Linked DNA regions of Yarrowia lipolytica. The protein of the gene in region 1 binds, or shares a complex with, the protein of each later gene. Links are inferred from orthologs where the notes say so. Each region holds a gene or a part of one and is shown on either strand. Other genes may lie near its edges.

The links.
Region 2: YALI1_A05473g (region 1) and YALI1_C31848g share a complex: the UniProt entries of both Saccharomyces cerevisiae proteins name them as parts of the ISW2 complex. The link is inferred for Yarrowia lipolytica from reciprocal best matches to the Saccharomyces cerevisiae genes DPB4 and ITC1.

The regions. Positions count from the first base shown.
Region 1 is NC_090770.1:545,403-548,604, forward strand, and holds YALI1_A05473g (uncharacterized protein), read left to right. Parts: upstream 1-1,979; coding exon 1,980-2,471; downstream 2,472-3,202. Other genes in the region: YALI1_A05459g (uncharacterized protein), read right to left, coding at 1-521. UniProt on the Saccharomyces cerevisiae protein: As accessory component of the DNA polymerase epsilon (DNA polymerase II) participates in chromosomal DNA replication.
Region 2 is NC_090772.1:3,182,936-3,188,406, forward strand, and holds YALI1_C31848g (uncharacterized protein), read left to right. Parts: upstream 1-1,908; coding exon 1,909-1,911; intron 1,912-2,030; coding exon 2,031-4,940; downstream 4,941-5,471. Other genes in the region: YALI1_C31830g (uncharacterized protein), read right to left, coding at 1-70; YALI1_C31888g (uncharacterized protein), read right to left, coding at 5,263-5,471. UniProt on the Saccharomyces cerevisiae protein: Functions as a component of the ISW2 complex, which acts in remodeling the chromatin by catalyzing an ATP-dependent alteration in the structure of nucleosomal DNA.

The DNA.
Region 1 (3,202 bases):
TGAGGACAGCCTGGACCGGGTCCAACAACTACTGCGTCAAACACACTGAGATACTTGTCAACCAACTCAGAAGCCGGCAGCGAGTCGTTGTGAATGGTAATGACCCGGGATCCGGGCACGGCCTTTTCAATCAGCGTGGTGAGGTTGAAGGTGAACGAGTCGTACGAGTCGATGAGCAGAATATTCATTTTCGAGGTCGGTGAACCAATACCGCACGTTTCTGTGTTGTTACAGATTACTAGTGTCAGATTTTGACCAGCAAAGTTAACCTTGCATAACGGTGATCTGGAGCGGGTAGGACGGGGAATATAACTGAAATTAAATACCCAATAATAGGGAAAACGTCGGGGAAAAAAAAAAGAATAAATCATTGAAACGATGGTAAACACAATGAAATACATTGTTAAGTTTCTACACATCTTTTTCGTCATCTTATATGCATTTCTTGAAAACACCAACTTAAGCCTATTGTTCTCGAGAGCGGGAATAGAAGGAAGCCGCAGAAAGCCGAATCCACACATATTTCCGGTAAATCAAAAGAGCAAGCTACAGAAACGTGCTTATTAAGCAGAAATGAAGACGACACATGGCACAAACACCGGCTCCTCGGCCACACTTCACCCGTTACTTGCTATTTGAACACCTTGTCTGATTGGTCATCAAGGGCCACTATCCGTTAACGTGTGGCTTGTCACCAGACTTGCACACTTTGAGGCTATTTTATTTGCTTAAATTGTGAGGAAGGCAAAAAAAAAAAAGAACAAATGAAAACACGAAATCCAGCCTGTGCCGTGCCATGCAATACAAGTAGCAAATAATATGACAAGGGGGACTTGTCTGGAGAGGTTGTTTGGAGGGTGTGGTAGAGGAATTGAGGGTCAATTGGCTTGAATTGATCAACACGTCTTCATGGTATTTGAACTTGAATTCTTTTACAACTACAATATTATACAATACGAGTTGGAGTAAAAACTCGTTTAAAATACAGTGTATATATTCATCCGACTAAATTTCGGATAAACAGGACTACTCAAAATAAGATTTCGGATCCCCCAACAATGCGGTTCAATTTGAGGAGTGGGTGAGGGGGATGTGTTTCAGAGGGCTTAGACTGGGAGCGGATGACACTAGAGTTGAAAAATTGGTCTGTTTCGTGCATTTTTGGGCAAGTTATAGAGATTGTAGTGGAGTGTACTTGTTCAACTATGTACGATAATTAGAAGGTTTTTGAATTTTTGATGGACAATACGAACACTTACGCTGGGTGTTACGTAAGGCTTTTTCAGCAACCAATGGAAAGGGAAAAGGGAGGTGTCCAAGGGAGGTGTCCAGAAATGAGCGTCGTGGGGTATTTGGCAAGTAGTATGAAGAGGTCGGCGATCGTGGTCAGGAGTGGTGCACTTTTTTTTAATCAGTTGATTCGTTTAACAGAATCTAGTGATTATATGATGACTTTTTTGAATGTTTTCGGAAAATCAGAAGAAATCATATCAAGTCACAGAGAAGAAATCAGATCGAGTCACAAAAACACAATCACTGAGTCAAGTATGTACATACGAGTAGATATCTGTGTTTCATCAATGTAGTTTTCGAATCGAAAATATAACATTCAAAGTAGATGTTGATTCAAGTATCGTAAAGTACGTACATACTGTGTATCGGTAGTTGCCTTCACTTCTGGACAAGGGTACAAGTACAATGTGTTATGTAGTGCGGCATTCGTACTCGCACTCGTATCGTACATTGTTCCTGTATTCCTACTGGATACATCATATAACCCGTTTTAATACCGCTTATTTTGTCTCGTGCCAAGGACATCTTTTTTCCCCCATTATTCCCCAATTCCCACAACAATCCTGAAAAAACAAATAAACTCGCCAAAAACAGGCCAATTTAAATTACGTGACGCAACACGATACAGCTGATGCGCCAACATCTCTGTTCGTCCATCAACCACACCTCACACCGTCACTTCCACAATGCCGCCCAAAGGACACAAAAAAACCGCCGACGGCGACTTCCGACCCGTCAACTCGGCCGGTAACACGATACAGGCCAAGCAAAAGTACTCGATCGACGATCTCCTGTACCCCAAATCAACCATCAAGAATCTGGCCAAGGAGACACTGCCAGATGACGCCATCATTTCCAAGGACGCGTTGACGGCCATCCAGCGAGCTGCCACGCTGTTTGTGTCGTACATGGCGAGCCACGGAAACGCGTCGGCCGAGGCTGGAGGCCGAAAGAAGATAACGCCCCAGGACGTTTTCGTGGCCCTTAAGGACGTTGATCTGGCTCAGTTTGTGCCCAGTGTGACCCAGAGTGTCAACGAGTTCGAACAGGAAGTTGCACAAAGGAAGAAGGACAAGGTTGTACGCGCCCAGGACGACCAGGACCATATTTCCAGCTCAGAGTCGGAAACCGAGGCGACAGAGGAAGAGGGCAACAAAAGAATTAGAACTGATGAGTAGAAGACGAGAAGGACAACGTGGCAACAGGACATTTAGATGCCATACTGAAAGATGCGAACATACTCAACACGCAGCTACGTGTGGTCAAGGTCACAAGCAGAAAGCCCTGATTGCAGTCAAAACACACTCTCCACCTGGCGCAAAAGCACAACCGACACATACGTTATCGCACGATAATAACCACTTACATACATGCCGCAACGGCATCAATACATGCACATTTATTTGATACACAGCAAGCCTACTGCCGTGCACTTGGGGCGGGGGTGTCTTAGATGCCCCGTTGTCATTGCCAGAACCCACGATGTAAAAGATCTGGACAGTTGCCCATATTGAATAATGAGCATGTCTTGATTCGCGTCGTACAGCACGACCAGACTATATGTTCTGGTCTCTTTCCGGTGACTCGAGCCTGTTTGTCATCCCAAGAGCGAGCTGACGAGTTCCACCAAATAAGGCAGCTTGTACTTAATGGTAATGGTCAGATCGACAGCTCAAGGCCTTTTGGTAATCTTGGAGCTCGACGGGTTGTCGTCCTCCGACTTGATGGCGATATCGGAAGGACCGTTCTCGTTGTCCTTGACATTGTAGCCGTGTTCATCGTGTACTCGAAAAGAAGATAGATAAAGGTTGATGGGGATCTTCAGGGAGGATAGATGTATTCGATGCCGAGAATAGTTCGTCCGTGATGGCCTTCCTGTTGTTTGAGCCGATTGTCATAAGTGTTTGAA
Region 2 (5,471 bases), on another chromosome or scaffold:
GTGAAAACGATGGCGGGGGGGTCGTCAGACCGGTGGCTGAGCTGTTTTTGGTTTTTCGTAGCGTCACCATCTTGGTGTGGTGGAGAGAAATGGTATACGATGCAAATTTGAGTGACACAAAATCAAGAGCGCCTAGCAGCGGGGGTGTATAAGCAAGTCCGGGTAAAAAATAAATCGACCGCAGCGAATTTTGCAACAGGTGGATCTCGATTATGCGGTGGATACGGTGTGTTGTGGCCTTTCCCGCGGTAATAATCGAGTGTGGAGTATCGTCTGGGTTCTTCTCCTAATGTCACAAGTAAGATGGATAGATATGCAATGCAAGCAAATACAGTTGTTTGGATTGTGTTTTGATACAGCTTCCCAAAGAGGCAATTCGAGGTTGGGGCATGCACATATTTTACCTTATTGCCAAGCAGTAGGGTAACTCAGGTACCGCGGGTCAGCGATGAGCTGCCCGAACCGGGAGGTTGGGAGTTCGATTCCACGGCGCAAATTAAATCTAAATAGAGTGCGAGGGGGGCGGTGAGGGAGATGGGAGGGCAATGTGTGGAACACCCAATTGGAAGAAAGGCAAAACGTGTAGAACTTTTGCTGCCACGTGATCGGCATTTATTCCCAGCCTCATAATGACGTACAGATACTGTACTCGATACGGTGGGAGTTCAAAAGTGCGAGAATAACCTGGTTGAGACACTGGTGTAGGTTCCGGGTACAGTGTACATACTGATAGGAATAATTGTAGAATTACAGTACGAGTACAAGTAGTACTCAAGTACAGTATTGTACATACTCGAACATGCTCCTGCTGCGGTATGGTGATTTTTTTCTACGCTTAATTATGGCTCTACCACGCGTAGCTACAGGCGTGTATGGCTGGGACAGCTACAAGAAGCCCCCAGTACCATATGGTGGTGGTGGCACGAGTACGAACAGGATGTACATGCAAATGCCATGAGAGGTTTGGAATATGGGCTGTGTGGCATGAAACAGCGGTTGGATCAGCATAAACGCATCACATGTCCTTGCGACTTGTATGGTTGGAACCAGTGTGTCTGAAAGCTTCCTACTACATACTGTAGTGTACATACCATACAATTATTAGACACGATGCAAGGGTGTTCACCATACGAGTACAGTTGATAGATGGTGATACTGAAAACACCCAATCCAACACTCCTTCATCCACACAAACAGGCACGTTATCAAATCCAAAACGCCGAGTTAATCATGGACACCAGACTAAGCACTCTTCGTATGGCTTCAGGCCCCAACCCAATCCAACCCTATCTATTCGAGTACTACCAGCAGTACAGTAGTGTCGGAGATAATTCGGAGATAAGAGGGTTGATGACGAGAGGCTCACAAACCACATCGAAATATCCGCTCTAAGACCATCACCACCTTGTCAAACGTCTTCCTATGGGCGTATGTCCGCTCAGTAAGGGGTTGAGATGTTGCCGGCCTGCTGCTGCGAACATTCTTATGCGATGCTCTTATAACGTTTTGATTGATTAGCGCACTGTGTACAACGTTGCAAGTGGCTGTGGTTTAAGTCGGGGGAACGAATGGGTCTATATAAATACAACTGGGGATGGGCCATGCGATTCCTGCTCACTGGCGCGGTCAAAATGAGTACAAAATCGTGCACTTTTGGCCATACTTGGTTCGACCCACAGGTCCGGTGTGGATGAAGCTACATTGTCACATTATGATTAATATTGGCATCAAACCGAAGCTCCTATTATACTTTGAGACTGCGTTTATGCGTGTATATTGTACTTGTATGTAAGTTATATGTAAGTTCAGCAAAGCTCAAACCATGTGCGTGGTAATTTTGGCTCGCTCATCTTGTCCATTTCTCCACCAAATTCACAAATCCCGTCGTTGCGATTTACATGACACGCCATGGTAAGTGACCAGCCTGAAACCAAGAGACACAGACGACGCGAGAGCTGTACATCATCATCTCAAGCGCGTCAGATCGACATTTTAGTCTCAACATCTACAACATCCAGCTACTAACCCAGGTTTTGTTTAAGCGAAAAGCCATTCATTTTGCACCACCTATCTACGTCGAGGAAGATGACGAAGTGTGGTGGATTGATGCCACGGGCGAGTACTTCAACAACTACGACGACTATTTGACCCGCATGGACTTCTACAAGCAGAAAAAGTTCATTTGCGAGGTCACGGGCCACTCGTGTCTCACGCTGTTTGAAGCTCTCAAAAGCGAGCTGCATGGCTCCAAGGAAATCATGGACGCCTTCCCCGAGAACCTAAAGGAACCTGTACTTCGACGCATTCAATTCTCCACAATCAGCAGACTAGATGGACTCGTTGATACTCTCTATGGCGAGTTCAAGAAGGACTTCTTCCCTGGAGAAATCGTAATTGCCATCATCGAAACCGCCACAGGAGCCACCGAAAGGGTCCCTGCCATCATTAGAGAAAAGGCCAAGTTCAACAGCATCACTCTCGACTCCGGAGACGTCCGACCTGCAACCACAAAGTACAGACTGGAGGCAGTCAGTGATCCAAACAAGGTGTACGTTTGCGACGAGACGCAGCTGACACGTGATCGCAAGAACTTCACTAAGGTGACCCTCAAGACCTTCATCAAGTACTCTGCAAAGAAGGAGAACTGGAACGGAGCGCCCTGGCTGGTGCGTCCAGAGTACGCAGAAAAGTATAGAATCGACCAGACAGTGCCCGTTCACCTGACGCAGTACCGAGGAAACCCGTCGCCTGAAGAACTGCGAAAACAGCGTACCCAAGACCGACTCAAGGCCAAACAGGCTCGAGACAATGAGAAAAACGACATTATTTTGCAGCGACAGAAACTGAAGATGGAGAACAAGGAGAAGAACGCTGCCGACGCGCTCATAAGGACATTAGGGGGACTCTCTGGACTCAAGGAAAGAGACATCCAAGTCCCTGTATCTCATCAGAACGGAGGTGGCAATGGAGGAGCAGGATTGGGAGCCAAAACCCTTGCTACTGCTCTGGCATCAGTGGTCACTGAACGACGAAGTCCTCCCCCTAAACAGGTGATTAGGGAAGATCTGGAACACCGTCTTGTGGGTGTGAATCCCAAGCCTGTGTTTCATTTCGACAAGTTATATCCATCTGATCTGACTGAGGTGTCTCTAGAAGTGTGGACGTTTATCAATGTGTACAAGGAGGTTCTTGTTTTGGACTCTTTCACCTACGACGATTTTATTGATGCACTTCGATACGAGGGTGAGAGTGATCTGTTGAACGAGATTCATTGTGCTCTCCTGAGTCAAGTTGTGGGAACCAACAGTGATTCTCTTCTGGTTGAGTACCCTGACGACATCAGTGACGATGAGGAGGAAGAAGACTATGATGAGGAGGAAGAAGAGGAGGAGGAAGAAGTCAAGAAGGAGGAACAGGAGGAAGAGGAAGTCAAGGAGGAAGAGCCGAGGGGTCGAACGCGACGTTCGTCCAGGCAAATCAAAAAGGAGGAGACTGAGGAGGCAGAAGAGGAAGAGGAGCAGGAAGAGGAAGAGGAAGAGGAAGAGGAGCAGGAGCAAAAGAATTCCAAGTCCGTGTCTCCTGGAGCTGAAAACAAGGGTGCTAACTATGCTGTTTTCAAGGGAGTTGACTGGAAGACCCGCCTGCAACGTCGAAACTTCAAGGATGGAGGTTGGCAAGTCATTCTCATTGGTCTTCTTTACAATCTCACCTACTACGAGCCCTGGGAAGACTTTATTAACGGTTGTCTTGATGTTTGGGCTGCTGCCAAAGCCCCTGTATCTCTTGCCTCTGCACGTGACCGGTACTTTGACCTTGATTTTACCCAGAAGGTCAAAATCATCCAGATTCTGTGCAACCTCATCCACCCCACTGATGCAATTCGAGCGTACATCGAAGAGTGCATGGGTCGAGTGACTGAGCTTCGACGAGATAAGGTGGACAAGCAGCGAGAGTACAAGATTGTTTCTGACGACATTCGGGTTCTCGAAAACGAAGTGAAGCGTATTGAGCTTGAGATGGAGGAGAAGAAGATCCCCGAGGACAAGGATGGCTTTGAGAAGAAAGCAGAGGGGAACGGAGACAACGAGGAATCCGAGCCCCCATCCAAAAAGTCAAAGACCGACAATGACGAGCTGCTCAGTACTCTTAGGACTAAGATCCAGGACAGACAGGAAACTCTCAAGGAGATAATTGCGGTCATCAACGCCAAAGACGAGGAGATTCGATTTGCAGATGTGAACCGGCTTCGTCTTCTGGGCAAGGATCGGTTCCACAATCGGTACTGGTGGTTCGAAGGTAATGGTATTGAGGATGCCGGCGGTTCAGAAGAAGAAGAAGGTACCGGATTCACCATGGGCCGTCTCTGGGTCCAAGGTCCGTTTGAAGAGGAAATCAAGTTTTGCCTTACTGGTGACATTCCCCAGTCCAAGCGTGAAGTGGAGGGAGAAGGGTACTTGGAGGACTACACCAAGTGGGGCTACTTGGAGCACCCTAAGGAGTTGGGTGAGTTGATCAAGTGGCTCAACCAGTGGGGTTCTCGAGAACACAAGCTTAAGAAGGAGCTGCTGTCTGTCTTGAAGAAGATCAAGGCTTCAATGGTGTCTCGATTAGAGGATCTCGGCAGGGAAAACGAACTGAGAAAGGAGGATAGAAAGGAAATCAAGGACGACGAGAAGGAGGTGAAGGATGAGAACACAGACGAGGACCACCAGAATGGTGCTTCTAGTGGTGACGGCAAAGACAATGGAGAGACCAAGGAGGATAAGAAGGAGAACGAGAAGAATCAGAAGGAGAACGATGTTGACGGGGACGATGATGATGAATTCGACCGAGTATGCTCTTGGTCAAACGGCTATGCCGTGTCCAAACTGGGCCATTCCCACTACGAGGGCCCGGCCAAGAAACCTGCTCGAAAGGATACTAAAAAGAAGAAGCGATAGTTGGCGAGACGAGATCTGAACTGATGACGGAATCTGAGACTGATGACGGAATCTGAGACTGATGACGATATCTCAGACGCCTCCTGACCTACGTACATGTACCATATAATTTATACATCGATAAATATTCGAATAGACGAAACTTGTAGAGTGTGTGCATATGAGTTTATACAGTAGCTACAGTATGTAGTAAGAAACTACCGCCCCCATATCCAAACACACTATAAAACGTAGACATGACAGTGTATAGCCGCTTTTGAATGGTACAATTCCAGTTCATTTGATAGCACAATGTCTGAGTAATTAATATATAAAACCTTCGTTATTCGTTCTCATCCAACTTGAGACCAAACGTGAAATCATCTTCCATGGGCTCCATGATATCGGAGTCCTCCTCCTTTTTCTCGCCTCCTTCCTCGTCCTCGGCACATCCACACTTGTAATGTTCTCCGACATTGTTGCAGTCGAAAATCTCCTTTCCAAGCCGCTCGTTGACCTGGTTGTGGACGTAACAAGCCCACTGTGATGCAG